Linked DNA regions of Stegostoma tigrinum. The protein of the gene in region 1 interacts with the protein of each later gene in a pairwise test. Links are inferred from orthologs where the notes say so. Each region holds a gene or a part of one and is shown in the gene's direction. Other genes may lie near its edges.

Evidence for each region.
Region 2: the proteins of alpha-synuclein-like (region 1) and bcl2l1 interact in binary tests that used the Homo sapiens proteins (3 or more experiments, as listed by UniProt). The link is inferred for Stegostoma tigrinum from reciprocal best matches to the Homo sapiens genes SNCA and BCL2L1.
Region 3: the proteins of alpha-synuclein-like (region 1) and sdf4 interact in a two-hybrid assay, tested with the Homo sapiens proteins (2 studies listed by BioGRID and IntAct). The link is inferred for Stegostoma tigrinum from reciprocal best matches to the Homo sapiens genes SNCA and SDF4.
Region 4: the proteins of alpha-synuclein-like (region 1) and arfgap1 interact in binary tests that used the Homo sapiens proteins (3 or more experiments, as listed by UniProt). The link is inferred for Stegostoma tigrinum from reciprocal best matches to the Homo sapiens genes SNCA and ARFGAP1.

What each region holds. Positions count from the first base shown.
Region 1 is NC_081354.1:9,864,388-9,871,880, forward strand, and holds the start of alpha-synuclein-like, read left to right. Parts: upstream 1-4,370; 5' UTR 4,371-4,590; intron 4,591-4,701; 5' UTR 4,702-4,717; coding exon 4,718-4,838; intron 4,839-5,949; coding exon 5,950-5,991; intron 5,992-7,493. UniProt on the Homo sapiens protein: Neuronal protein that plays several roles in synaptic activity such as regulation of synaptic vesicle trafficking and subsequent neurotransmitter release.
Region 2 is NC_081372.1:57,848,515-57,855,951, reverse strand, and holds the start of bcl2l1 (bcl-2-like protein 1), read left to right. Parts: upstream 1-4,369; 5' UTR 4,370-4,591; coding exon 4,592-5,062; intron 5,063-7,437. UniProt on the Homo sapiens protein: Potent inhibitor of cell death. Inhibits activation of caspases. Appears to regulate cell death by blocking the voltage-dependent anion channel (VDAC) by binding to it and preventing the release of the caspase activator, CYC1, from the mitochondrial membrane.
Region 3 is NC_081381.1:29,565,501-29,573,764, reverse strand, and holds the start of sdf4 (45 kDa calcium-binding protein), read left to right. Parts: upstream 1-5,223; 5' UTR 5,224-5,508; coding exon 5,509-5,819; intron 5,820-8,264. UniProt on the Homo sapiens protein: May regulate calcium-dependent activities in the endoplasmic reticulum lumen or post-ER compartment. Isoform 5 may be involved in the exocytosis of zymogens by pancreatic acini.
Region 4 is NC_081372.1:31,569,916-31,577,797, forward strand, and holds the start of arfgap1 (ADP-ribosylation factor GTPase-activating protein 1), read left to right. Parts: upstream 1-4,638; 5' UTR 4,639-4,809; intron 4,810-7,882. UniProt on the Homo sapiens protein: GTPase-activating protein (GAP) for the ADP ribosylation factor 1 (ARF1). Involved in membrane trafficking and /or vesicle transport.

The sequences.
Region 1 (7,493 bases):
ATAAATTATGTGTTCTGCACACTTCTCTGTCACTTCACTTGGTGAAGGGCAGCCCTCCCAAAGCTTGTGATTTCAAATAAACCTGTTGGACTATAACCTGGTGTCATGTGACTTCTGACTTTGTCCTCCCCAGTCCAATACCTGCACGTCCATGTCATATAAAGTTCAGGTAGGTGTGATAGTCCTGAATAAGCACCTGGTGGACCACATGAAAATTACAAACTTGCAAACAGTGGAGTGGGAAAATGTGCTCAGCTCCTCAACAGCTTTTCTGACTGTTCCAGGATCTGTGGGTTCTCCCTCTCCATCAAGCATTGAATAATACCTTGGAATCTGAGTGGGACATGGTGGATGAGGGGCTGTTAATTTTGTCCAATCAGGAAGTGTGGGCTGACAGGCATAAACAGGAGTGTCAGACATAATAGGAAGTGCAGACGCTGGAGAATCTGAGATCACAAGGTGTGGAGCTGGACGTCCTTGCCACTGATCTAGCTCCCACTGAGCCAGATCTCAGAGTGAGCAGGATGTCTGACACTCTGAGATCACAAGGTGTGGAGCCAGATGAACACAGCAGGCCAAGCAGCACCTTAGGAGCTGGAACGCTGACGTTTCGGGCCTAGACCCTTCATCAGAAATGGGGGAGGGGAAGAGGGTTCTGAAATAAATAGGGAGAGAGGGGGAGGCAGATTAAAGGTGGATAGAGGAGAAGATAGGTGGAGAGGAGAGTATAGGTGGGGAGGTGATAGGTCAGTCCGGGGAGGATGGACAGGTCAAGGAGGCGGGATGAGGTTAGTAGGTGGGAAATGGAGGTGGGAGGAGGGGATTGGTGAGAGAAAGAACAGGTTAGGGAGGCGGGGACGAGTTTGGCTGGTTTTGGGATGCAGTGGGGGGAGGGGATGAGCTGGGCTGATTTTGGAATGCAGTGAGGGGAGGGGAGATTTTGAAGCTTGTGAAGTCCATACTGATACCATTGGGCTGCAGGGTTCCCAAGCGAAATATGAGAACTGATCCTGTAACCTTCGGGTGGCATCATTGTGGCACTGCAGGAGGCCCAGGATGGACATGTCATCTAAAGAATGGGAGGGGGAGCTGAAATGGTTCGCGACCGGGAGGTGCAGCTGTTTATTGTGAACCGAGCGTAGGTGTTCTGCAAAGCGGCCCCCAAGCCTCTGCTTCATTTCCCCGATGTAGAGGAGGCCACCATGGGAAGAGCGGATGCAGTATACCACATTGCCAGATGTGCAAGTGAACCTCTACTTGATGTGGAAAGTCTTCTTGGGGCCTGGGATGGGGGTGAGGGAGGAGGTGTGGGGGCAGGTGTAGCACTTGCTGCAGTTGCAGGGGAAGGTGCCGGGTGTGGTGGGGCTGCAGGGGAGTGTGGAGTGGACAAGGGAGTCACAGAGAGAGTGGTCCCTCCAGAAAGCAGACAAGTGTGGGAAGGGAAAATTGTCTTTGTTGTTGGGTTCGGTTTGCAGATGGCAGAAGTGTCGGAGGATGATGCGTTGGATCCGGAGGTTGATGGGGTGGTATGTGAGGAAGAGGAGGATTCTCTTTTGTTTGTTATTGCGGGGACGGGGTGTGAGGGATGAGTTATGGGAAATGCGGGAGACATGGCTGAGGGCGTTCTTGACCACAATAGGGCGGAAGTTGCAGTCCTTGAAAAACGAGGACATCTGAAATGTGCGGGAGTGGAATGCCTCATCCTGGAAGCAGAGGCGGTGGAAGCGAAGGAACTGTGGAGAGGGGATGGCATTTTTGCAGGAAGGTGGGTGCGAGGAAGTGTATAGGTAATTGTGGGAGTCAGTGGGCTTGAAATGGATGTCGGTTTCTAGGTGCTTGCCTGAGATGGAAACAGAGAGGTCCAGGAAGGTGAGGGAGGTGTAAGAGATAGTCCAGGTGAACTTGAGGTTGGGATGGAAGGTGTTGGTGAAGTGGATGAACTGTTCAAACGCCTTGTGGGAACACGAGGTGGCACCGATACAGTCATCAATGCAACAGAGGAGGAGGTGGGCTTTAGGGCCAGCGTAGGTGCGGAAGAGGGACTGTTCCACGTAACCTAAAAATAGGCAGGCGTAGCTTGGGCCCATGTGGGTACCCATGGCCACCCCCTTTGTCTGTAGGAAATGGGATGAATTGAAAGAGAAGTTGTTGAGGGTGAGGGTGAGGACGAGTTCGACTAAGCAGATGAGGGTGTCATTGGAGGGAGACTGGTCGGGCCTGCGGGACAATAAGAAGCAGAGGGCCTTTAGGTCATCTGTATGAGGACTGCTGGTGTTTAGGGTCCGGACGTCCACAGTAAAAATGAGGTGTTGGGGACTGGGGAATTGGAAGTTCTGGAGGAAGTGTAAGGCGTGGGTGGTGTCACGGACGTAGTTGGGGAGTACCTGGACCAAAGGGGAGAAAATGGAGTCCAGATAGGTGGAGATGATTTTGGTGGGGCAGGAGCAGGCTGAGACAATGGTTCGACCAGCGGAGGCAGGTTTGTGAATTTTGGGAAGGAGATAGAAGCGGGTGGTGCGGGGTTGGGTAACAATGAGATTGTTCACTCTCACTCCCATCCCCAGATCCCAAGAAGACTTTCCACATCAAGTAGAGGTTCACTTGCACATGTGCTAGTGTGGTATACTGCATCCGCTGTTCCCGTTGTGGCCTCCTCTACATTGGGGAAATGAAGCAGAGGCTTGGGGACCGCTTTGCAGAACACCTCCGCTCGGTTCGCAACAAACAGCTGCACCTCCCGGTTGCAAACCATTTCAACTCGCAATCCCATTCTTCAGATGACATGTCCATCCTGGGGCGCCTGCAGTGCCACAATGATGCCACCTGAAGGTTGCAGGGACAGCAGCTCATATTCCGCTTGGGAATCCTGCAGCCCAATGGTATCAATGTAGATTTCACAAGCTTCAAAATCTCCCCTGCCCTCACCGCATCCCAAAACCAGCCAAACTCATCCCCGCCTCCCTAACCTGTTCTTCCTCTCACCCATCCCCTCCTCCCACCGCAAGCCGCACGCTCATTTCCTACTTACTAACCTCATCCCGCCCCCTTGATCTGTCCGTCCTCCTGGACTGACCTGTCTCCTCCCTACCTACTCACTTCTACTGGCTCCACTCCTGCCTCTTTAACTTGCCTGTCTCCTCTCCACCTGTCTTCTCTATCCATCTTTGATCTGCCTCTCCCTCTCTTCCTATTTATTTCAGAACACCCTTCCCCTCCCCCATTTCTGATGAAGGGTCTAGGCCCGAAACGTCAGCATTCCAGCTTCTAAGGTGCTGCTTAGCCTGCTATGTTCATCCGGCTCCACACCTTGTGATCTCGGAGTGCCAGACATCCTGCTCACTCTGAGATCTGGCTCTTTGGGACCCAGATCGGTGGCATGGGCATGTAAATAAAGGATGGCTTGGTGATGGGATACTGGCTTTGTGGACTTAATGCATTCATGACAATCGTTTGAAAGATTTGTTGAGGCAATGTTCCATTGTTGAACTGTCACATCCACAGTCCCTCAGATATTGACACAGAAAATATTGAAGAAAGAATTTCCTCAGCAAATGTTAATGCAATTATTTGAATCCCTCACAGGCTTAGTTTGAAGATTTGTTTTTTTCATAAGAGGACAATCAGCATCTTATTTTACACAGATTTTGTTTTTCATTGCATGGTATTAAAAATTGATTCAATGTGACTCGCGACTATTTCTTTCTGCTCTATTTAGCATTTACACTTCCCCCAGATGGCAAAAGTCATCAGATTTTCTGAGGCTTCTCTGCATGACTTTGCACTCAATACGCTAAGAAAAGTATAACATTATTATTGAAATATTGCTGAAACACAATTGTTGGAGGGTTTTTCTCTTTACTGCTGTCAACACAACATCACTTAATCTGGCATCAGAAACAAATGAAACAAGCAATTAATTCAGAATCTCAAATTTTCATTTTCATTTGTCTGTTTACTGTCGTCAAGAAATTACATTGGATTAAATTCTTAAAAGCATTTACAGAAATAGAGAGGAGGGAGAGGTGGTAGTTTTTTTTACACATATATACTATATTAATAGCAAACGTACCAGTCACTACAAAAAAAGGGTAACGTGTTCAACATATATTGCTGTGCATTTCTCCATCTGAAAGATTTAAAATACTGCAGGGCTAGTCTTCGGCACATGGCAACAGAAGAATAATTTCCACAGGCGAGACAGATCCAAGATGATGAAGCATTCCTTTCGATTGAAGTTGATGTGTTTTATATAAATGTTGCAGCCGAGGGCGAAGAGGAGGGAAGGTGGGGGCCGAATGTCCCCACGGGTGGTGGGAGGTGGGTTGGAACCGAGAGATGAAAGCCCTTCACAACCACAAATCAGGAGGCACGTCTGCTTTCCTCGAATGAGGACGCAGTGGGGAAGAAGCTGGGCTGCTCAGTTGGAGTCAGAACCAATCTGTTCAAACACCAGGCGCTGGAGCTTTCGGTGGTTTCAGCTCTGGGCTGCGTTTAGCTCAACCATCCTAAACCAAACCTTGATGCTGCAGTGATGTACTGAACAGCTGGGGGAATTATTTTTTTTTCTCTCTCCGATAAACAAATCAAACGGTAAACTTGAACGTCGTGTCGGTGTTTGTGGTTCTCAGATTTTAGGTGGTTTAAGTCACTGTAGAGGCTTACTTATTGTGTGATCTCTGTGTCTCTCTCTCTTTCGCCTAGTGACCAAAGAGTAACCATGGACGTTTTCATGAAAGGGCTGTCCAAGGCGAAGGATGGGGTAGTAGCTGCTGCCGAGAAAACGAAGCAGGGAGTGGCAGAGGCGGCGGGAAAAACGAAGGATGGGGTGCTGTATGTGGGTAGGTAGAAAATTAATGCTTCACATGGCTGTCTTTTCAGACAAGAAATGGCACGGGGTAAAAACACACACAACTCCATTCACCCAATCTTACACCTTTGGGGGGATGGGGGTGGGATGTGTAAGAAACACGGAGGAATAATAGAAAGCTTTCCTTTTATTCTCTGGTAAGAACGGTGTGTGGGGTGATTTGTCAGACGGGGAGGAAGGATAGCTGCCACTTCCAAATCCGAAATATGGAAGTTGCAGAGAAGCAGAGCATCAAGTGTTTTGGCACCGGGAGGGAGGGAGATTTCTTTGTATATGTTTTTTAAAAAAAATCCAGAACTAATCCAGTGCAGATTTGTAAAACGTAAACCGTCGGGTGCTGAAAAGGAATTATTTTCCAACAAATTTAGAACGAATGTAACATTGGATGTGTGTGTGTTAAATTCGATGAGCGGGAAGGTTGCGGTCAAGGTCATTTCGTTGCTGAATTCTGAAGACCTTTTCTGCTGTGTGCACTGAGTTGGGGACATTGACACGTGTCAATGGTAAGGCCAATGTAATTTATTTCCTGCAGCTTGAAATTTAAGGACTTAAACCCGAATTTGATCTATTTTCCTTTAAATTTGAGGTTTTTAATGTTTTCCACGGGCACCCCCCCCCCCCCCCATGTCTGTCTTGCACTAATTTCGGAACTGTCATCATTATTATTATCTATGTTGTTGAAGCAATTTGTTTGACATAACACACCTCAGGCGCAGGTGGGATTTGAACCTGCTGGCAGGCTGTCATTTCTCCAGCGGTCCAGCTAGAGGGAGGAGAGAAGATGCGAGGGTGAGGATGGGGAAGGTACAAGGTCCCGGGGAAGTGGAACAATGGCGTGCTTAACCCCTGCCTAACAAGCAGCTCCCTGTTATTTCCAGATCCCGTGGCTCTTCCCCGGCTGACCAACCCGTTGTCAGTTTTTCCTGCTTTCGTTGATGCTAGCCTTTAACACCTCTCCACGCCTTGGCTGCTTAATTTTGACCTGAGCCTGGGGAAAGAGGATTTGCTGCTGTGATTTGTGACAATTTATTAATAGGGGTTTTTATTTATTTTTACTTCTTCTTTAATGTATTTATCTCTAGGCTCCAGGACCAAGGAAGGTGTATTTCATGGCGTATCTTCAGGTATCAATAATCAATAGAATTCTGTAATGTTATGTGTGTGCTAGTCTCTTTGTCTATATGTGTGGGTCTGTTTCTAAGTACAGAATTAGGAGCACAGAAAGAGGGCATTCTGCCTTCCATCATCTTCTGCTTTCCAGTTAGATCATGCCTGACCTTTAAATTAGTTTACTTCTGTAATCCTGAATATTCCTGCTGTTAAAAATCTTATCTTGGTTTTGAAATTTTCAATTAAGTCACAGCCTCAAATGTTTTTGGAGGAGGAAGTTCCAGATTTGCAATCCACTTTGTATGAGGAATTACTTCTTGACATCACCCCAAATTGGCCTGGTTCAAATTTTAATCTGTATTCTGCTTCTCCACCACCCCCCCCCCCCCACTCCCCGCCGCATCCCTGAGAAACTAGTCAGTCTCTCTGTCTCTTTCCTATCTACTCCTTTGATCGTCTCAAATCATAATTAGAACAGCTTTCATCTCAAGGAAATACAAAGCAAGTATTTGCAAACTTTCCTCAAAAGTTAACTGTTAATCCCAATATGTACAATGGGTCAGACTGACCTGTAGAATAGGTTTGAGCTTTTCTTTGATGCAACATATGAGAGAAGAAACAGCCACGTTGACTGTTACAGTGAGTATAGCGGGAGTATCTTGTACTACTGGCTTTCTGAGTAGTGAGTGTAGTTTCACCACCAGGCTTCGTGTTTAATGCCATTTCCTGTCTGTCTGTACTGTTGGCAGAACCTCCAGTATTACGTTGGTTTGCTACTGTGACCCACATGAAGCTTAAAAGTTGCCAGGCCGTATGGACTGTTTCTGTGTGAAAAATTTCTATTTAATACAAGCCATCATTGAGACTGAAAATGTTAGACGACCTAGATCAAGGTATGGTAATGTTGAGGCTTTAAACAGCAAGAGTGCAGTGTTCAGACATCAATATAGCTTGGCTCTACGGAGCTTGTGTGGATCCAGATATTCACTCATACTTAAAATCACACCTTATCTTGTGTTTAACTACTTATGTTTTCTGTATTCAAAGGCTGAGTTAATTCCTTTACGCATGTATAAACAAACGAGGGCAAGTTGGTGAAAGGCAACATCAAGAAATAGCTCTTCAGACCAAGAGAAATTAACTTGTTTGATTTGGTTTTTCAGATGGTGGCCAGAATCAAAAGTTGCAGACTTATTAGAAAGCTAATTGGATGCTGAGACTGTAGACGATTGGGAAATGATGAGTTCCGTGAGGTTGCCTCACCTGTGCAAACCTGTGGTCCTTTGTAACAGAATTATTTGGAGTACTGTTCTGTAAAGGTGGAGCATCTGATATTTCCACATGTAGCAACTTTCTATGTGACTGCTACCACTTGCTAGAGCTGTTGAAAATGGAAAAATGACCATGTGTATAAGTGCTGATAGATGCCAAACATGCATCTACCTTTGAGTAACATTTTAATTCGTCTCTGATCACTTTCCTAAAGATTTTTAATTTGACTCTTGCTCCTCTTGTT
Region 2 (7,437 bases), on another chromosome or scaffold:
GGTTCACCCCTGCGAATTTGCAGGACACTGTCATCTCATAAGCACTGATGTCATTCAGAATGACATACCATGTTGTAGAATAAGTGTTCGATGAAAAAGCATTATCATTCTCCATGTCCAAACATGACTAAACATTTGTATTCAGTAAAGCTGTAAATTCGCAATTTACGGGATCCAGGCATTACTGTATTCCATTGAGACAATTCAGGATTTTCTCATCAAGGGATGACAGAAGTGTTATTAATATTTGTAGATATGAGTTTGGCAGATAAGATGATTATATGGAAATCAAATATACAATTTGCTCACCACTCTTCACAAAAATTACAGCTACTGCTAAAGGATGTCGGAATTGTAGGCAAAGAACAGGAAACCCTTGTCAAAAAAATCACATTGCATTGTGATATTAGTATTGAATATTGTAAGACACCACCATGCCTGGTTGTAAGCTCCTACAGTCTGAAATTCAATGAAGTAAAAGTTATGGATCTGAAGATATGGGTCAAAGATCAGAACGTCTATTAGATTTTGTAGATATGGTGACCAGGTTTACCATACACACAGTGATAAACAATAAGGGTAGGTGGACGATAGCGTAAAAAGACATGGAAAAGTGGGCCAGTACAGTCCTTGGGTCACAATGGATAATGAAGGTGAATTTGCAGATGACAAATTTGGGGACATGTGTGTGAATACAAATATTGTAGTAATGCATATTGTTGCAGAAAGTCCATTCAGCAACGGCTTGCATGAAAGAAACCATCTGATAGTAATGAGGCTCTACACAAAATATTGACAAATCAGTCAATCAGAAAGTTACAAAAAGCACTGGCAATCAGCAGTAAATGCAAAATGTTCTTTATAAATAGTTGGCAGTTTTAGCTCAAACCACTTAGTACATGCTCAGAATGTTGCCTTCAATACTGCATGATGATCCTAGAATATCTGGCAATCAGCACCAGTGTGAAAGCACTCATTAAAGCTGAAAAGGTTGGAGAGCATTGACATACTGCATCAGATGCTTTGGGAGAGATTTCAAATCCAGTGGCATGGTTTATGATAAGCCAGAAGGACACAGCAAATGCAAAGATCCAGCAAATGTTATTGGATGTGACAGGAGAACTTTCACAGGAATCAAACTATAGGAGTACATTACCCATGGCTAGTGGTGATAAGTTCAAAAAGTCATACAGTATGGAAGCAGACCCTTCAGTACAACAGTCTATGCTGACCATAATCCCGAACTAAACTAGTCCCATCTGCCTGTGCTCGGCCCATATCCCTCCAAACATTTTAAACATTGTAACTGTACCTGCATCCACCAATTCCTCTGAAAGGGGGAGGCAATGGCCTCATACTTTCATTGCTGGACTGTTAATTCCAGTGGCCCAGATAGCATTCTGGGGGCCCAAGTTAGAATCCTGCCATGTGCTCCTGAGATGCTGCTTGGCCTGCTGTGTTCATCCAGCCTCACATTTTATTATCTTGGAATTCTCCAGCATCTGCAGTTCCCATTATCTCTGATGCCATCCTTACCTGGTCTGGCCTACAAGTGACTCCAGACCCACAGCAATGTGGTTGACTCAGAACTGCCCTTTGGTTGATTAGTGACGGACAATAAATGCTGTCTAGCTAGTGATGCTCTCATCATGTTAATGAATTAAAAACTGCTCATTCCATACATGAACCAGTCTCTGTGTAACAATATTGCCCTCGTCTTTTTTTAAAATATTTTTCCTCTCAGCTTAAAAATATGACCCCCAGACTTGAAATCCCCGACTCTACAGAAAAGATAACTGCCATTCATACTGCTTATTATTTTATAAACTTCTAGCAGGTCACTTCTCAACCTCCTACGCTCCAGTGGAAAAAGTCCCACCCTTTCCAGCCTCTCTTTATAACCCAACCCATCCATTCCCGGCATTGTCCTGGTAAATCTCTTCTGAACCCTCTCCAGCTTAATAATATCCTTCCTAAAACAGGGAGAACAGAACTGGACATAGTACTCCAGAAGAGGCTTCACCAACGTCCTGTCCAACCACAATATAACGTCCCAACTTCTATACATAAAGGTCTGAGCAATGAAAGCAAGCATACTAATGTCTGCTTTCTATATGTGACACGAACTTCAGACAATTATTTACCTGAAACCCCTGGTCTCTCTGTTCTACAACACTGCCCAAGACCCTACTTTTAATTGTGAAAGCCGTGTCTTTATTTGTTTTCCAAAATGCAATGTCTCACATTTTTTCAAATTAAACTCCATTTGCTACTCTTTAGTACCCAATGATCTCTTGTAATCTTAGATAACCTTCTTCACTGTCCACTTTACCACCAATCTTGGTTTCATCCATAAACTTATTTAAAGTATTTCATTTATTCAAACTTCGTATTTTATATAAATTTTACATATGCAAAATTAGTATTTCTTCTTGCATATATTCACTCTTAATTCAAAAAAACCTGGTTATATGCACGTTAAAAAAGGAGTCAAGTCCATCTGAAAGATAAAGGGATCCTATGGATCCAAAACCCAGAAGGAGTGGCTGGACAAAGTGAAGCCAAGACATTAAGAGTTTGAGATTATCCAATGTGGGAACTTGCCCAGGATCTGGGCATAACAGGCACCAGGTAACAATGTCAGGATCTGAGAAGATCAAAAGTAATGCCTCAAAAGCACTCAAAATCAGTTAGAATTATTCTTGATATATGACAGTGAGGTAGGGCATTTAACCCAACAGGTCCATACAAACATTTATTCTCTACTTGAGACCCTCTCAACTTCAGTACTCATACAGTTATCTAGTCTCCCATTAAAAACAGCTATCATGTTCTCTTCAAAACTCACAGGAAGATGAATTTTCGGACTCTAAGAACATGGGCAAAGGCGTTGCCGGCAAAGAACCAGGTACTTTATGTACCCGTGAGTTCTACAAATTGGTGCTGAGGGGCAGGACCTAAGGGCTCAGGAAATACACACTGATAAAAGCACCAATCATGATGAACATGAAGAAGTTATCTCATGTGGGGATCATTTTCCCAAAATAAGTTCACAAGTGGTTAACTTGCCACTGATTCAGCTGAAGTAGGGTGCCACAATAGTGGGACGTGAAGGCAAATCTGTGGGAAAATATAAATATTGGCTAAATGGCCAAGACGAGCGACATGATCGATATGATCGGTATGACGGGTCGGCACAACATCGAGGGCCAAAGGGCCTGTACTGTGCTTTAATGTTCTACATTCTATGACATGAGGCTGTGGATTGGTAACAGGCAGTATGAGAATGAGAATGGAGAAACCCAGTTCCAGTTTGAATACTGATTCAGAAAATACATTTAGGAGGATAAAGCCAGATGCAATAATGAGGATTTCTGGCAGACATCCTCATAGGAGTATAGTGCAGAGAGATCCCAATGTTAGAATAGAAACTGCAGCTAAACAAGATGACTGGATAGCAAGGATAATGCAGACCTTCCTGGAACAACAGATAAAAGTCAATGTCCTCATGATCAGAAGATGTTTGCAGCTACAGTTAAATCCCCAAACCCTGACCACCATCTACAAGGCACAAGATAAACTAAACATTGTCTCTTAACACTCAATGGCATTACCATCACTGCAATCTCTACCAACATCTCCTGGGTCACCACTGGCCAGAAACTCAATTGGAGTAAGGTTGTAGGTTTGCTCACCGAGCTGGTGTGTTTGATTTCAGACGTTTTGTCACTCTGCTAGCTAACATTGTCAGTGCACCTCTGGTGAAGCTCATCTGAGCTACAAATCGTCTCAAAAAATTTCAACTGGAGTAAACCCTGTAGCTACAAGGGTAGGCCAAAAGCTAAGGATTCTGCAGCGATTAATTCACCTCCTGGCTCCCCAAAGTCTGTCCAGCACCTACAAGGTACAAGTCAGGAGTGTGATGGAATACTCCCCACTTGTGGATGAACGCAGCTCCAATGACACTCATGAAGCTTGACACCATCCAGGACAAAGCAACTCACTTGATGGGCACCACACCCACAGACATCCATTCCCTCCACCATCAGTGCTAAGTAGCGGCATTGTGCCTTCTACATGATGTTATACAGAAATGCGCCAAAATATCCTTCAACAGCACCTTCCAAATCCACATGAAGACAGACAAGGGTAGAAGATGGATAGGAACACGGCCTGCTGCAACTTCCCTTCCACCCTAACTAAGGTCGTGTTAGCGGGGGGTCGTAGGGTACGGCGCTGCGATAGTGACTGGAGCCCGGATAGGCGGGTAAATGTGGGGCGCAGTCTCCGTGAGCAGGGCGGGCCCAGGAGGCGGTGCCTCATGTGTATTAGGCGGGGCCTATAGCGGGTCGGTGTCCCGGCAGAAGGCGGTGGTCCCATGGGGAATGGGCGGGGCCTATAGTTGGGCAGGGTACCGGTAGAGGGCGGGGCCTTAGCAGGGCGGTGACCCCCGCGGTGGGCGCGGCCCCGTGGTCAGTGGGCGGGGTCTCAGGCCCGGTCCCAGTGGGTGCGGGGGGAAGGGGCAGGCCTCGAACAGAGAATCTCTCGTGTCCGTCATGCCGGCTACTGGGTGAGGTGCCGACGCTGCAGGATGTACAGTAGTGGGGAGCTGGTCGCTGATTTCCTTCGTTATAAACTGTCCCAGAGGGGCCACAACTGGAGATGGCTTTGTGAGCAGAATGGAGCGGCGGGCCTGGGGACACAGCCCGAGCCCGGAGCGGCTGTGTGCAATGGCAGGCCCGAGGCTGAGCGGGCCCGCCAGGCCCTGTTGGATGCCGCTGAGGAGTTCGAGCTGCGCTACCGCCGGGCTTTCAGCGATCTGTCGGCGCAGCTCCGCGTTACGCCGGACACGGCATACCGGCGCTTCGAGCAGGTGGTGGGTGAGCTGTTCCGCGACGGCGTTAACTGGGGCCGGCTGGTGGCTTTCTTCTGTTTCGGGGCGGCCCTGAGTGTGGAAAGCGCCGAGAAGGAGATGGGCGCACTGGTGCCCCGCATCGCCGACTGGATGAGTACCTACCTGGAGAACAACCTGGACCCTTGGATCCGGCAGCACGGTGGCTGGGTAAGAGCTCTAGCCAGCTTCATCCACCAGGTCTCTACATTGCAAAGCCTGGGAATCTATACAGTGTACCTGATTCCTAACTCTAGCCCCACGTCGCTCACCTTTCACACTAGGTCGTTGTCCTGTAGTCCAAGAGTCTCTTTCTATCCACACATGGTATCTGACTCCTTATTCCCTAACCACAATAACCCCTCACCCTCTGATCCTGAACCCTATAAACCCTCATCCTCCACATAGAATCCTGACTGTTAATCCCTAAATCTATAACCCTTCATCCTCTACACAGGAAGTCTGACCACTTATCCCTAACCCTATACCCCTTTCCCCTTAGATACGCCAACCCTGGCTTAACACTAAAGAGCTTTTGGCCCTGACTTCTGTAGAGAGCTGGCAGACACTGGGCTGAATGATCATCCTACTTTCTGTGTGATTCAGAGATTCTACCTCCATGGCAGCGTTGGTCCGAGTTTGCTAATTTCTGGAAAATGTTTAAAATCACTGAATTTAACCGATAAAATGGAGAGACCCCATAATCCTAGCTTGCTGTGATACTCCATCACACTGTTATTTCTTGATGCAGCACATTTGACTTTGCGCACTGTATTGAGAAGGATTTCCACAATTTATTTGGGTAGTTAGCATTTCTTTGAAAGAATATGAGAGCTAAACCTAAACTCTAGCATCCCAGTGAAGTTTGGTATTGAATAGATAGATGTGTTTAATTCTTTAGGGCTTGTGATCTCCAACTTTGTTTTGGTTTTGTGGGCTGTTTTGAAATTGGGTCTTCTGAGCAGCATACCCTTAATTGATGGAGAAATTTTCAATCCATGATCACTTGGACTTTAAATTGGGCCATGAGTGAGAAACTTGCAAAATGCATCAAGACGGCAATGTGCTGGTCAGGTAGTCAAACAGAATTCCATCTACAGAAATGAGAGTTATTAGATTTTGGGAGGGCAAAGAAATAACAACAGCTGATGGGACATTGTGAAGTTTGTGGAAAAAGAGAGACTTTTGAGTACGTTCCACATAATTCTGATTTAAAAAAAACATGAGTAGTCAATAAATTAGCAAAGAATGTGTATGGAATAACTTCCTTATTAGCCAAAGCCTAGAATATTTGAGGGAGGGTGTTTGCTTAAATTGTATATAGCTGTGGTTAGTGCACTGTGTACAGTTCTGTGATCACATTGGAGGGTTACAGAGAAGAATTACAAGGGTGTGACAAGGAGTGGAGAATTTCAGCTATGAGGAAATGTTTCCATTGAATAGAGGCAACCATGGGAAGATTTAATTGTGATGAAAAGATAGACTTGAGGGGTCTAGATTGCGTGGATGGGAAGGTACTATTTCCCTCAACAGCAACTTGAGATCATTGATGTAATTTAGTCAATACAGTGTGGAGTTGGAGGAACACAGCAGGCCAGGCAGCATTAGAGGAGCAGGAAAGTTGATGTTTTGGGTTGGGACCCTTTGCCAGTCCCGATGAAGGACCCGACCTGAAACATCGGCTTTCATGCTCCTCTGATGCTGCCTGACCTGCTGTGTTCCTCCACCTCCACACTGTGTTAACTCTGATGCCAGCATCTGCAGTTCTTGCTGTTTCTCTCAATGATGTAATTTTGTTGGTAAAAGGATTAGAAAGGAAATGAGGAATAATTATGTTGGCCAGAAGATGCTGGGGATTTGGTATTCACTGCCTGGAAGGCAAAGAGGGATAAGCCTTTATCCCGCTTAGGCGTTTGGTTTGCACTTGAAATGCCATAACCTATTAAACTGATCAAGAGCTGGAATGTGGAATCAGGGTGGTGAGCTTTTTTTTTAACAGGACAGAAACGATAAGTCAAATGGCCTTTTGTGCTGTGAATTACAGTCCTAAATTACAGTAATTCTATCTTTTGATCAGAAAGACAGATTTGCATTTCGTTAAAGCCTGCCACAACCTCAGGGTGTCCCAAGCTACTTTACCTCCAATGAAACACTTGGTCATGTATCAGTCAGTTTGAGATATAAGTGAATTAAAGGAGAGAAAAGTTAATTTTTAATGTAGCCCTTGAGACAAGAATGTAACACATCTCTGCAGATGTGAAGAGAGGAACCTCACTGATTGACTCAGCATCTGTGATGTCGTTTGGCCCAAAGTCTGGAGGAGAAGTTGGGCTGTAGTGTGTAAAGATGGAAGTAATTGGTATAATTTGAAATGTGTGTACAATTCTGGTCCGCATCTTTTTGAATATTGATCCATTGTACTCAGAGCTGACCGGTGTGAAGAATGAACCGTATAAACGTTTGTAAGACTGTGTGATTGTTGCGTAGTTTTGAACATGTGAATTTCAACCTCCTTTCTTACACTTTGCTGTTGAGATGAGGTGGAA
Region 3 (8,264 bases), on another chromosome or scaffold:
CTTATGAAGGAAAGTGTTTCTCATTTGTGAAAAGTTACAAATTTTTGTTTTAAACTTAATACTCCAATGAAAATAATTTTCTCAAAATATTCCTAATATGTTGAACCAAGAGACTATTTCCAACTCTTCAAACACTCTTGCTTCCACCTGTAGCAATCAAGATCTGGAGGATAAATTACTTTGGTGGTTCCGTTGACCCTCCACAGTTTTAAGGAGGAAATGCATACTGAAAAGTACAACAAAGGCAAATATGATTGCACTTGTCCATACCCAGGCCTGCTTTTACTGATATATAGTCTTGCTAAGAAGAATACACATTTTGGTATCTGCTTAGAACATAGAACAATACAGTGCAGAACAGGCCCTTTGGCCCTCAATGTTGCGCCGAACTGTGAACTAATCTAAGCCCCTCCCCCTACACTATCCCATCATTATCCATATGCTTATCTAAGGACTGTTTAAATGCCCCTAATGTGGCTGAGTTAACTACCTTGACAGGCAGGGCGTTCCACGCCCTTACCACTCTGAGTAAAGAACCTGCCTCTGACATCTGTCTTAAATCTATCACCCTTCAATTTGTAGCCATGCCCCCTTGTACAAGCTAAAGTCATCATCCTCGGAAAAAGACTCTCACTGTCCGCCCTATCTAATTCTCTGATCATCTTGTAAGGTCTCTATTAAATCCCCTCTTAGCCTCCTTCTCTAAAATGAGAACTGCTTTTTGTCTCACGCCAGAGATGACATGCAAGAATACCAGTTCAAAGGAAAAGCAATATTTATTTTGTATGTACGGAGAATGTTGATCGTTTGGAATGTAGACTCTGGGGCTAGAAGTGTTAACATAATGCATCCATTAATGCTGATTGCTTTATTTAAATTTTGAACCATACAGATTGACTTTAATTTCTCAGGGTAGCACCCCTGAACAATGAGTGAATGGCTGTTACATTTGAGATGAATCTGCAATTGGACAACATTTGTTGGATAATCCTGAATGGTTATCTGTGCAAGGAATTGCACAATCTAAATTGTCAATTGAACTTGCAGTGTGGCAGAGGTGGGTGTACCAGAAGCTGCTTATATTAAAGCACGGGAGGCTGGAGAGTTTGTGATCACTTTTCCCTTTAGCTGTCATACTGGTTTCAACCATGGATTCACTTGTGCAGAATCACCTAAATTTGCCACACTTTGCTGGATTGATTATGGGAAAATACCTACTAGGTAAGGAGTTTGCAAACTATGATGTGGTTGCAATCCTAATTCATTTGGCTTGCCTCCTTGATATTAAAACATCATTTTATTGCATGCAGTTATTAAAATGTATCCCATGGTGACCATGCAGGTGAGAAGCCCAAATAAATTCACTTCTGTTCCCCATCATTTTTATTTGGTTATCAATGACTTATCTTCCACAAATTTTTTCCTGTATTGGTTTGGAGAAATAGAACTTCTCCATCTATCCTGTATAATCAATGAGAGATTGATGCTACGATACCAGTTGATGTTACAAGTAAACAAGTCATATCTCTGACAGAACCCTGGCTTGGTGGATCATGCTGTGATTTGTTTTTGTTTTCATGAAGTGGTCCCTTGCTGAACATAGGCACACAATGCTGCAGATTTTTACTTTAACGATGAAAAGAAGTTTATTAGTCAAAGAAATGAGCATAAAACAGGATAAACTAAACCATCTGTTATAATACCAATTCAAAGATTTTTAAACATACAGTGCAAGTATAATCCAACTAGTAATGGCATTGATACAAATAATGGACATTTCCAAGGTTTGAATTACTGTCTACTTATCTGCATTACGCAGCAAATCATCAACCTGCTTGGGTGTGAAAACAACTTCCATAAAATTCTCTGCTTCCAGGAGATTAATATTGAAAATGACACAATTCTAATTTCAATGTTCAGTTTAATCTGCTCTGCTAGATGGCAGATTGAGGAGCACTGCTCCTGAGATTGCAGGCTTATTTCCAGATTTACTTCTAGATTTCTTCAGTTACTTTAAGTACATGAATAAGAAATCTTTGGAGGTATATGGCGTAGTCCTGCTCCTATTTCTTTATGTGCATATTTAAAAAATGGGAGGGAAGCATGTAGAGTCAGAATTTCTTATTAGATGTTTGATGTCACCTGACACTTCATATCACAGACTCCATCTTAGAACAGGCCACTTGAAGTGTGGCACACCAATGAAAGCATACAGCTTTTTGTTACCAAATAACTTGATGTTTGCCCAGATATGGATGTGCCCATGAATGCAATATCTGTATAGTCTGCTGTAACAAACATCTCAGTGATTGTTTCAATAACACATTAGCCCTATGTAGTCTTGTGTTATGAGGGATAACAAACATTGCCATCTCATGTAAAGAAGGCTGAAGGCAAAAAGCCCATCATTAGGATACCCTGTTGCAAATCACTACAATTCAGGACATTTAAGTGGTGAGGTAATTTAGGTAAAAGACAGGTAGTAAAAGGACAGAACAGTGCAATTAGAGTGCCTCCAATGATCAGGTTTGTGATCTGGAAGAAAAATACATTACAACAGCAAATCTAATGGGTTAGTATTAGTCATTTTGGTGTGTCATAGCTGCCTCAACAGGTTAGGTGGTGTGTCAACCCCTGAAATGATCTAAGTATCTACTGTTTTTACAGATGTTGACTCCAGTGCCTTATTTCTGCTAGTGGGGTCGAGGAGGGGACAATGAACCTCCCTTATGAGTTGGGAAAATTGTTATGCCCTTCAACATGTGCATCCCTTCAATCTCTATTTTTTAAAAAATGACTGAACTAATACAGTTACTTTTTGTTCAATATGACAGTGAAAAGTTTTCATTTGTCACCGTTATCTGGCATCATTTTGAATAAATTAGTAAGGATTAAAGTGCAAGCCCAAACAACATCGGAATCACCTGTCTTGGTGCTGGGCCTACCTCCAATGGCGCTGTGATGCCCATCTGCTGCTGCTTCATCACTGCCAGCATGAGACCCAAGCAGTGACAAGGTTGCTGATCCTCAGGTGCAATGTCTCACCCATAAGCCTGCCTCTGGTGATGTAACCACCACCGATTCTGATGCCAGGTCCTGTGCTCACCCTGGAAAGGTAAGGACTCATTCAGGGTCAACACTGGGCCCAATCAATGTCTGCCTGGTACCTATCAAGGTCTGCTTACCTGGCCTGTTCAGGGTCTGCGGTGGGCTCTCGCTGCTAACGCTGACCGAGCTCAGGACTAGAGGTAAGAAAAGATATACGGCGGGGGGGGGGGGGGAGAAAAAGAGAAGAAAAGAAAGAAAAGTGATCGGAGCAATGAGCTCCTGTTCAGGAGCTCTACTCCTGTGCCATCTTCTTCAATTCTGTCAATAACTCAGAATCTGACTCCCATTAAGAGTGATAGAGGTGTATATCACAAACAGACTCTGGTCCAATTCATCTATGCTGACCAGATCCTAAATAAATCTTGTACCATTTTCCAGTATTTTGCCAATATCGTTCTAAACCTTTCCTATTCATATAGCTATCCAGTTGCCTTTTAAATGTTGTAATTGTACCAGCCTCCTCCACTTCCTCTGGCAGCTCATTTTGTACATGCACCACGCTTTGTGTGAAAATGTTGCACCTTGGGTCCCTTTTGAATCTTTCCCCTCTCACCTTATTCCTATGCCCTGTGGAAAAGACCTTGGCTATTTACCTTATCTATACCCCTCATGATTTTACAAATTTCTATAGTATCACACCTCTGCTTCTGACACTCCAGGGAAAATAGTCCTAACCTATTCAGCTTCTCCATGTTGCTCAAACCATCCAATCCTAGCAATGTCCTTGCAAATCTTTATGAACCCTTTCTAGTTTTGCAACATCCTTGCTATTAGCAGGGAGACCAGAATTGCAAAGAGTATTCCCAAAAAAATGGCCGAGCCAATGTCCTGTATAGCTGCAACATGACCTCACAACTTCTATACGCAATGCACTGACCAAAAAAAAGCAAGCATACCAAACACCACCTTCACTATCCGATCTACCTGTGACTCCACTTTCAAGGAACTATGAAGTTGCACTCTTTGTTCAGCAACACTCCCCAGAACCTTACCATTAAGTGTATAAGTCCAGCCCTGATTTGCCTTTCCAAAATGATTCTTTTTAAACTTGCATCATTTTGGGATTATCCCTTATTTCTAATCTGTATGCATGTGTATTGCTTTACTAGTTGTTGGTAATTAATAAATTTGCTCTTTGACTCAAGAAAGCCTAGTTTAGTTTGCACCTTTTGAAGCATGAGTTCATTTGGGTCTGAGAGAAGGGTATTCACCAGGAAAGGGATCCATTTTTAAAGTGACCTTGTTATAACTAAACAATGGAAAAGTGGATGCAGGTGAATAAAGGGAGCCAGTTCATCTCATCTCACGTCACCCAGACGCTCAACAATTCGGGGCATGCTATCTGGAACCATAACAAATTAAGGAATCCCACGAGCAATGGGAGCATCAGCCACACACCAGTCAGACATGGGAACTATATTGCCGTTCTTACCCTGTGCTGTGTTAAAATTCCGCAAGTCACTAACAGCATTGAGTGTGATCTTAACAACCCTCGGAGTTTCTAAAGAACACTGCTGGCCACCACTTTGTCCAAGAGTGAAGGGATAGGCAATAAAATGTTCCTCTAAAATAATGCAAAAAAAAGGGGGAATCCGGAGATCTGAAACAAAAACAGAAATTGCTGGAAAAAACTCAACCAGTCTGGCAGTATCTGTAGAGAGAAAGCAAAGTTAACATTTTGAGTCTAGTCATTCTACCATACCCTAGCCAGCGACATTCCACATCCCACGAATAAGTGAGTTAAAATACTTGGAGGGTTTTAGCACTAAGGGCGATAAATGAAGCGAACTCTTGTTGGTGCAGTGATAATGGGAACTGCAGATGCTGGAGAATCCAAGATAACAAAGTGTGAAGCTGGATGAACACAGCAGGCCAAGCAGTATCTAGGGAGCACAAAAGCTGACGTTTCGGGCCTAGACCCTTCATCCTCCGTCTAGGCCCGAAACGTCAGCTTTTGCGCTCCCTAGATGCTGCTGGGCCTGCTGTGTTCATCCAGCTTCGCTGATATCTTGTTGGTGCATCCTCCTCCAACCGAAGTGTGGCATAGATGCAAGCGTGTAAAGTCAGTCCTCCAGGCTAGGGGGAGTCGGAGAGGGCATTGTCGATCGGGACCAGTGCTTCCTCCTTCTTGGGCTGGAGCCGGGTTTTTTTTGTGGCTTGCGGATTGCAGGTTCGATGCTCCGCTGCCGTGAGTGAGGTCCATTGTGGTTTCCGGCTGTAGAGAACGCCGTAACAGCCTCTCACGGTAGCCCCTTCTCCACCCCGGTGGGTGACAGGAAGATATCACCTCCCGGCTGTAGGGGAAGGTGAGGAGGGGGATGTGACAGGCACCCGAGGCTGACGCAGTCGGTGGATCAGCGCGGGGAGGGTTTTGGGTTTTCGGGCCCGGTGGCTCGGACCATGGCCTCGGGGAAGTCGGTGCTGTGCGGCGTCGCCAGCCTTTACCTGAGCGGCTTCTGTATCTTTCTGATGGTCGATGTCTACGCTCGGCCGACCAACAACTCAGCCGTCAAGCGGGAGAAGTCGGGCGCCAAGCTGGACGACAACGAGATCCAGCCCCCGAACCACCTGAGCGGGCTTAAACTGGAGAAGGGGGGTGTCCTGAACAAGGATTTCCACCAGGAGGTCTTCCTGGGCAAGGAGATGGATGAGTTTGAGGCGGACTCCGAGCCCGTCAGAAACCGAAAGAAGCTCATTGCCATTTTTGAAAAGTGAGTACTGTCGTCAGCATTTTCTCGGATGGGAGACAGGGCAGGATTTATACACTCAATAGTAAGGTCCTGGGGAGTTGTTAGTCAACAAAGAGACCTTGGAGTGCAGGTTCGTAGTTCCTTGAATGTGAAGTTGCAGGTAGACAGAATAGTGTTCGCAGTTTGGGGCTGGGCCCAGATCTTTTAAAATGACAGTCATTCAGAAAATCTAGTCTCAGTGCTTAATCCTACCCTAGTTGATAATGTTCTAAAACCAGGATAAGTTTTTGTTTAGTAATTGAGTGTGGCTGGTATTTATGCTTGGCACTGATTTCTTGAACCAAGATTAGGAAAGTCACTTGAGAATGTGACACTTATTATTCTTGAATGCACGATTCTAGTATTTGCTTTTTTAAAAAATTCCACCGTGGCTTTTGTTCACGTCTAACACCACACCCTTGGAAATGTGAGCACTTATGATTATGGTATCATCACTCTCAATTTTAAGTGCTCTGTGGTAGTTGCACCTTCAGTTGCCTAGGCCCAAAGTTTTTGTAAACCCTTTCATACACCTGTCTGTCTCTCTGTCTGTCTCTCTGTCTGTCTCTCTGTCTGTCTCTCTGTCTGTCTCTCTGTCTGTCTCTCTGTCTGTCTCTCTGTCTGTCTCTCTGTCTGTCTGTCTCTCTGTCTGTCTCTCTCTGTCCGATGTCCTCAAAACGTTCCTTTTTTGGGTCCTTTAACAAAATCTACTTTTTTGTGCTTTGGTGTAATACTTTTGTTTCAGAACATTCTAAGATGCTTTGCAGAAACATTATATCAGGTTAAAGGTGCTACATAAATATGTTGTTGCTCAATATGCTGAGAATTTCGAGTTAAGTGTCCTCTAGTTTTTTAAACTTGTTCCTAATCTCGATGTGGATCACATTCTGTCTGTACTGTTTACACTGTGTTAATAATTGTACGGTTATCACTACAGCATTTAGTGAGTATATGATGAGCATGAGGTTAGTACATAGAAACAATTTTGTTGTTTTATACATCGTGCAGTTAAGAGTTATACAGTGGCATTCCAAATGGCCTTTGAGTAGATGGTGATGATGTCCCTTTTTGTTGTTGTTGTGCAGTGCCTGTTCGCTTTATTTTGATAACCTTCAATCCTTTGTTTGCACAGCCATGCAAGTTAAACCTAAAGGAGTTGACTTGTGCACAATTTATTTGACTTCTGCATTGCTACACGGTTGTGCATCCCAGAGAGAGCATTGGTGGTGAGCTGTCACTTGAACTGCTACGATGTGTTGATATTCTCCAGTCCTCAAAGGAATTCTTGTATTTTAGTGACAGTAAAGTTCCAAAGCAGAATGATGGGTGACTTGGTGGGAAGCTTTGGAGCTGGTGGTGATTCCATGTATCTGCTGCCCTTGTTCTTGACATGATGCTAGGGACAGATTTGGTAGATACTGTCAAAGGAGCATTGGTAAGAAGTTGTAATTAATGCTGCATCATTATAGAAAATACTCCCTCAAGCCAGAGTGCTGCCGGAGGAATGAATTAAGTTGATGAATGAGGTGATGGGCTACTTCTTATTCTAGGAGTGTTAACCACCTTGATTGTTGTTGCTGCCCTCATTCAGGCAAGTGGGAGGGATTTAACACACTCTTGACTTGTGCCTTGCCGATGGTGGATAGACTCTGGGGAGTTGAGAGGTGAGTTACTCAGCAAATAATTCCCAGATCTGACATGTTCTTGTATCTACAGATTTAATACAATTGGGTGAGTTAGGTTTTAGTCACTGCTGACTCCCAATACATTGGTGGACGGTTCAACGATAGTAATGCCATTGAAGGTCAAGCAGGGCTAGACACATGCTTATCGTTGCTTGGCACTTGTGTGTCATGCATGTTACTCGCCACTTATCTACCACAGCATGAAGGTTATCCGTATCTTCCTGCATCCAGGCCCATTATCTGAGCTGTTCCAACTGGTGCTGAACATTGTGAAACATTGGTTGAAGCAGCTGGAAATGGACTGTACAATTAAATTACTTTTTAACGCTAAGATAGAGAAACAAAGACTTATTTGAAAACTGGACATTGAGCCAAGGAAGAAAATATTTTGAGGCTGTTACAAAATATTTCTTGGTAGAAGTGAACGTGAGTTTAAAAGAGGCAGGAAGATTTTAGAGAGGGCATGGCCACCACAGATGCATGGAACAAATGAAGGTGTGGAGTCTGGAATCACAGGAATAAGTAATTTGGTATAGGGTTGTTTGGCAGGTAAATGGCTTCACTCTTCTCCATAAAGAACTATGAAAGTGAAAATTTAAGGTGTTGAACAAGCAAGATTCGTATCCGTGAAGGAGTGGACCTTTTGTGTAGGATCTGAAACGCAGCAAGTAATTGATTAATTGAAGTTTATGGAGGTTGGAAGGTAGGAGGACACTGTCGCACTGAACATAGAACTAATTGA
Region 4 (7,882 bases), on another chromosome or scaffold:
GAGTGTAGCATCAAGGAGGCTGAGCAAAATTGAACTCAGTGGGGATCTGGGGCAAAACTAAGTGGAATGATAGCTGATATAGGAGAGACTGGTTTTGGTATTGGATCAATCATCTTCCTTCCAAAACACTGCTGCAGCAATTCTTCAAGGTAATGGCCAGACAGAAGCATCTTCAGCAATACTTTCCCACAATCTTAAGATCAGAAGTAGGGAATTATAGTGATTAGTCTTTAGTCTCTTTTGTAGCTCCCCAGAAAATGAATCAAGTGCATGCCCACAAGCAACAAGAGCCAGACAATATTAGAGTTTAGGCTGATGAATGGCAAGTAGCATTTGCACCATAACAAATGTCTAAGTGACCATCTCCAACAAGGAAAAATACAACCATTTCCTTTTGATTTCAATGGGACAATTAATGTTTAATCTCTACAATCAAAATCCTGGGAGATTGCCATTGACCAGAATCTTAGTTGAACCAACTATATAAATATTATAGGTAACTCATGTTCTTCATTGAGGTCTATCCACCAACTTCAAGGCAAACGTCAGGAGTGCGATGGAATATTCTCCACTTCCTGAGACGAATACAACTCCTAAAACACCCATGAAGCCTGATTCCATCCTAGGTAAAGCATTCTGCAAGACTGGCACCTTAAACATTCACTCTTTACACCAGTGTGCACTCTTTCCACTGTTGCATTTAGTCTTCATCTACTCCACTAGGTACAAAAACAGACGTGCTGGAAAAGCTCAGCAGGTCTGGCAGCATCTGTGACGAAAAAAATTCACAGTTGACGTTTCGGGTCCAGTGACCCTTCCTCAGGACTCAGTGCTCTATTAGGTTATGTTCAAAGCGGTCAGTGCCTTTGAAGATGTTTCTTCAGTTTGAGAGTTTTGGGGCTAACAATTCCCATGTGTCAGTGGGGATGGTGCACTTTTTCAGTGAGGCCTTCAGGCTGTCCTTGTACTGTTTCCTCTATGCTCCTAGTGACTGCTTACCGTTGTGGAGCTCAGTGTACAGCACTCATTTAGGGGGACTTGGGTTGGATATGTGGACAATGTGGCCTGTTTGTCACAGATTGGGTAACCTGTGCCATCACACTGTGGATATTGGCCTAGGAGAGGATGCTCACTGCCCATCCTGCCAGTGGATTTGCAAGATTTTGCAAAGGCAGCATTGGTGATAATTCTCAGGCTCTTAGTTTCATCTTGTCCTTCAATCATCTTTACACTTCCTTCCTCTCACTCAAGTTTTGGTAGAGCTGCCAGTCCAGGAACCCTTATGTTTGCAATTTAGGAGATTCTGGATCTCTTGATCATTCATTAGTCTTAGTGTTTCCTGTTCAACAGGCCGAGTGGCCTCAAGCAGATGTGACCATGGTGGCTTTTAGGGTGGACCAGGCACTGTGGGCACCCTGTGAATCTGTTGATCACCTCCAGTTTGGATGTGAGGCGCTGCCTGGGTACATCTTTATTCTCAAGGTCTTTGAGACCAGCAATATTGAGTACTCTGTGGTAGAGATTTTTTTGTTGCCTTTGATGGTTTGGGGCCAGGTTGGTGGAGATGGTAAGGGGGTTAGTCAGTGGTTTGTCCAGCAGTCATTAGCTCTGGTCTTGGTGCAGGTGATGCAGACACCTTTGCAGCCTCTTGCTCAAATTATGATATGGTCTATCAAGTGTCAGTGTTTGGAGTGTGGGGTGGGTTGCCAAGAAATCTTGGAATCTTGAAGTCATTCCTCTGGTGGTACAGGGTATTTGTTATGACAATGTCACATTCCATGCATTTCATCAGGAATAGGACTCTGTTGGAGTTTATTTTCCTTATGTTTTCCTTATCAAACATGCCTCTCCAAAGGTTGGTATCACGCCTGATTCTGGCATTGAAGTTCCCACGGAGAATCAACCTGTCTTCCTTGGGGATGCAGGACAGCAATTGGTGAAGACTGGTGTGGAATGCCTCATTTGTCTCACATATGCAGTGAACTATAGCACTTTGCAAAACTGTTACCTCAGCTACCTACAGAAACAAGGAACATATAACCTGCTAGTTCTCCCCAAGCCACTCACCATTGTGGGGTGGAGTATATATATATATATTGCTGTTTCTTTCCTGTTATTAAAATTCTGGAACTCCTTTGTTAACAGTACGAAGGATATTTTAACACTATACACACTGCAGTGGTTTAAGAAGGAAGCTGACCAACACCTTTTCAATAATAGTTAAGTTAAATTTGCCTTACCTTGCTCCCACTCTTCTGCACCATCACCAGCAAAACTTCTCAATGGATATTTTGTACGTTATATTGGGTGCCCACTGTGCAATAATGACAGAGAGTTATACTGCCAGAGACGCCTTTGTTCCAATGAGATATCACGCTAAAGCCCCATGTACTTGTTGAGGTGCACGTGAATGATTCTACAGCAGTAATTTACAAATTGAGCATTACTTCCTTGCTAATTTTTCAAAATTTCTGTTTCTTTTTTTTTTCCTCATCGGATGTGGGCTTCGCTTGCTGGCCAGCATTTACTGCCCATACCTAGCTGCCCTTGAGAGGTGGTAGTAAGCTGCCTTCTTGAACCACTGCAGTACACGCGCTGTAGTTTAATTCACAATGCCCTTAGGGAGAGAATTCCAGGATTTTAATCCAGCCATAGTGGAACAGTGATATTCTTCCAATTCAGGACGGTGAGTGGTTTAGAGGGGAACTTGAAGCCATAGTTGCCATGTACCCGCTACCTCACTCCTCCTCGAAAATGATAATGAATTTGGGAGGTCCTGCCTAAGCCAGGTATAAGGTCAAAAGTTCAACAACAATAAAGTGGCTGAGGAAGAAGGGAAAATCTTGTTTCTAAGAAACAGAGTTTGTAACTTCACCTACCATGTTAGTAAGCAGTTAACCATATTTAATGGATAGAATATCTGGTCTTCCAAAACTGTCAAATTTCAAAATTAGGACAAAGGTGAAGTTTAGCTTGGTGGGAACGATAGATGGATGGAAGTGGCATTAAATGTTGGTCTCAATTTTAGTGATCTTGTAGCCAAGATGGGTGATAAATTTCTGGAACTCTGGTCAATTTCCATTCCTTCACAAACTCTGCTTTGCAAGGGCGATACCTCAGACTACCTTGTTATTTTTAAGAACTGTTCTGGATTTTTACATGATGTGCTCATTAAACTAGCTACAGAAAGTTAGAAGTGGTAATTGACAGTGGAGATACTATTTTCAACTGCTTCAATCAACATCTGGGCAGAAGGAGAACAATTTATATGGTACTATCACATTCTTGCAGGCTGTAAATTATTGTGATTTCTAAAATTTCAATTTTTAAAAATGTTTATGTTACTTTTCCTTTCTCTTTAAACAGGTGTTTTTTCACTCCCTTTTTTCTATACCTGATTTAACTTTATTCCAGCCATTTTAGTCACACTTCTTCCCTTCTATGCTCTTTCCTTCTGAATTCTTAAATCATTTTGGACTTTTGCCACAAACTCTGCATGCCAGTCAGTGACTTCATCCCTCTCTGGATATTATTTCAATCAAACATGCCTAACTTTGATTTCCTATTTGACCGAAATGAATTTCCAATCTCATATATATTCCATCACCAAAATCAGCTACTTTTACCTCCAATAACATAATTTGTCTCCACCCTTGTTTCAGGTTATCTGCTGCTGAGATATTCACCTGGTACCTCTAGGCTTGATTGCGTCAATGATTTGCTGGTTGGTTTTCCACTTTGCACTCTTTGTAAACCAATTCTCACAAATCAACATTGACTGAAAAGTCTGGCAATTCATCAATATCAAGGTGCTTATACTTCCTTGCAAATCTTTCCATGGCCTTGCCCAGACCTGTAACCTCCTCTAGCCTTACAACCCTTCAAGATCTCTGTACTCCAGCTAATCATCCTAATATGGCTCTCTTGCACACTTCTGATTATGTACGCCTAAGCTTTATTGTGAAATCTCTCACTAAATCTCTCTTCTCTACATTCCTAATCTTATTAAAACCCACCACTTTGTTTAAATTTTCAGTCACTTGATTAAAAATGCATTTTGCAGCTTGGAAGTCAAATTTTGCTTGGAAACGCTCCCCGCCAACATCTCAAGATAGCCCAATGTAGGTGTTAAATAGAAATGCCATCTCGTATTTTTGTTAAGCAGGCAGACCAAGTCCAATATTTCATGTTGCCCTCATTGCGCTGTTATTAGTGCGCACCTACAGCAAGTTACTGTATTCATATTTTTCAACATAGCTGAAAAAGTAAAATGCTGTACACCTGGCTACAACAAGGTATGAACCATTTTTAACCCTTATATTCTGGCCACAGATGCTGAATGGGTGTGCTGGATATCTTTTGTTTTCAAGCAATTTTTTGTTTTCAAGATTTACAATTTCTAGCTCTTTATTCATATGAGCCAAAATGAATTGGTTCATTAAGCTACCATGGAAGTATCCTAGGAGAGGGGGATTGATGGCAAAAGTGGTGAAGTTGGGACAAGGAGGAGCCAATGGAGGTATTAATACACCGGTATGCATTATGCGATATGTTATGCTCTCATCATTGATACCTCATACACACCTCCACCCAGTTTCACACATCATCACTCAACACTGTGCAGAGGCCACTTTACCCAAAAGCCTCTTGTAAATGCAACGTCGTCAAAGATGGCGGCCGCCTGTTCCTGAGGTGGTTGGTGTCGGACTGACTAGCGGGTTTCACTCGCTGTTCTTTTTCGCACCGAGGCTGAACGCGCCTTTCTTTTGAAGGGGACCTAGTGTCAACCGAAGCGGCGACCTTGGAGAGGTGAGTAGGCGGCTGCGAGCCTGTCCGTCCGTCGCCGGGATGAAAAAGCCGGTAAATGAGTCAGTCAACCTAAGGGTGATGGCGGCTGTGTCCCGCCCTCCTCCCCGGCAGCTGATTGGCCGGAGGGAGGTTAGCGGCCTCTGGGATTGGTCCAGACCTCTTGTCAGTCAGTGAGTCGTGATGAGTAAGTTAAGGTGTGTGTTTGCCGGCTGAGGCCTCGTTGTTGTTCCTGTCCCCGTCCCCTTGTCTGCAAATCATCCTGAAGGGGAGCTAGTGGTTGGACAGCTGCAGCGGTGTACAGCTATGTTGGCCATTCAGTGATTTCATTTCATTATAAACAGTGGACTCCAGTCGTTTGGTTTGTGCCTAACCAAACCTTCACCTCATAGAGACTGTTGCTTCCTCCCTCTCTCTTTCATGCACTCACTTCTATAAACCCAACGCTCATATTGTTCTGCCACGTTAGCGCCGGAGCAGAGACTATTTGAAAAAAGAGTAATATTAGTTGAATGCTGAAGAGTGCATTGCAGCTTCATGGACATTTATACATCTGTCTAGCCGGATCTTTAGATTACGATGATGTAGGAGATTCGTTCTGATGAAATGTCGATCCGTCATTTGTTTCTTTACAGATTGTGAATGGACTATGTATTTTCCCCGTTTTGTGTTGTAAAATTTAGAAATGATTCCCAGAGTGAACCCCTTACAATTAAACAGAAACTTTGTGATTTACTACCTATTATTAACATGCCAGTAGTGTACTAGTTCTTACACTGTGGTGTAATATAGGTTCATTTTAGTATTTGTACTTTCTAGGTATACGTCTAATTCAGTTTTCACTGGTATAGCTATCTTGGTGTTCCTCGTTCTGTCCAAGTTTTAACTTTTTGACCAGTCGTCTTTTGATACACACACATTTTCTTTTCATAAAAACCAAAAGAACTGTAGATGCTGTAAATCAGAGGCTGGTAGGTAGGAGATGGGGGTGGGGCTTGAGGTGGGAGGAAGTACAGGTTATGGAGGTGGGGATGAGCTGGCTTGGTTTTGGAATGCGGTTGCAGGAGTGGAGATTTTGGGCTGCAGGGTTCCCAAGCGAAAAATGAGGTGCTGCTCCTCCAACCTTTGGGTGGCATTGTTGTGGCACTGCAGGAGGCCCTGGATGGACGTGTCATCCAAGGAGTCAGAGGGAGAGTTGAAAGGCGCGTGACTGGGAGGTACAGTACTTCTCTACCTCCATCTTCTGTTTCTTACCCTCAAGCCAATTTTGTATCCAATTGGCTAGCTTCCCCCGGATTCCACATGATCTAACCTTGCTAACCAGCCTGCCATGTGGAACCTTGTCAAGGTCCATGTAAATGACATCTACTACTCTGTTTTTATCAATCTTCTTTGTCTTTCATCAAAAAATCACAATCACGTTAGTGAGACTTAATTTCCCCCACACAAAGCTATGTTTACTATCCCTAATCAGCCCTTGCCTTTGCAAATACATATAAATCCAGACCCCTAGAATCCCCTCCAACGACATACCCACCACTGATGTCATGCTCACCAGTCTATACTTCCCTGGCTTTTCCTTACCATCTTGCTTAAATAGTGGCACCACATTGGCCAATGTTCAGGCATCTCAGCCATGGCTGTTGATGATATAGATATCTCAGCAAGTGGACGAGCAATCTTTTCCCTAGCTCCCGCAGAGTTCTGGGATTCACTTGATTGGATCCCTGTGATTAATCCACCTTTGTGTTTTAAGACATCCATCACCACTACCTTTTATAATATGTGCAGTTCACAAGATATTCCTATTTATTTTCCCAAGGTCTCTGACTTCCATGTCCATCTCCACGGGACATCTCAAAACATCTATAAGAATAATAGGGTTGTAATGGTAGGAGATTCCAAGTTTCCAAACGTAAACTTGGACAGCCATAGTGTTAAGGTCTTCGATAGAAAGGACTTTAAATGTGTACTAGAAAAAAATACCTATTTAGTATGTGGATGTACCCTACTAGAGAAGGAACAAAATTTAACCTTCACTTGGGGAAACAAAGCAGGACAAGTGACTGGGGTATCAGTGGGGGAGCACTTTGGGCCAGTGATTAATGATTCTATTATTTTTAAAATAGTTATCAAAAAGGATAGATCTGATCTAAAAGTTAAAATTCCAAATTGGTGTAAGGCAAATTTTGATGGTATGAGGCAAGAACTTTCAAAAGTTGATTAGGAGAGACGATTCGCAGGTAAAAGACAGTTGGAAAGTGGAAGGTGTTGGTGAAGTGTTCGAGCTCCTCTGGGGAGCAAGAGGTGGCGCCGACCTTCCACCCCAACCTCAAGTTCACCTGGGCCATCTCCAATACATCCCTCACCTTCCTGGACACCTCAGTCTCCATCTCTGGTAACCAGCTAGAAACTGATGTCCATTTCAAACCCACTGACACCCACAGCTACCTAGAATACAGCTCCTCCCACCCACCCTCTTGCAAAAATTCCAAACCCTATTCCCAATTCCTCCACCTCCGCCGCATCTGCTCCCAGGATGAGGCATTCCACTCCCACACATCCCAGATGTCCACGTTCTTCAAGGACCGCAACTTCCCCCTGCAGTGGTCGAGAATGACTTGACCGTGTCTCCCGCATTTCCCCCAACACATTCCTCACACCCTGCCCCCGCCACAACCGCCCAAAGAGGATCCCCTTCGTTCTCACACACCACCCCACCAACCTCCAGATACAACGTATCATCCTCCGACACTTCCGCCATCTACAATCCGACCCCACCACCCAAGACATTTTTCCATCCCCACTCTTGTCTGCCTTCCGGAGAGACCACTCTCTCCGTGACTCCCTTGTCTGCTCCACACTCCCCTCCAACCCCACCACACCCGGCACCTTCCCCTGCAACCACAGGAAGTGCTACACTTGCCCCCACACCACCTCCCTCACCCCATCCCAGGCCCCAAGATGACCTTGCATATCAAGCAGATGTTCACCTGCACATCTGCCAATGTGGCATACTGTATCCATTGTACCCGGTGTGATTCCTCTACATTGGGGAAACCAAGCGGAGGCTTGG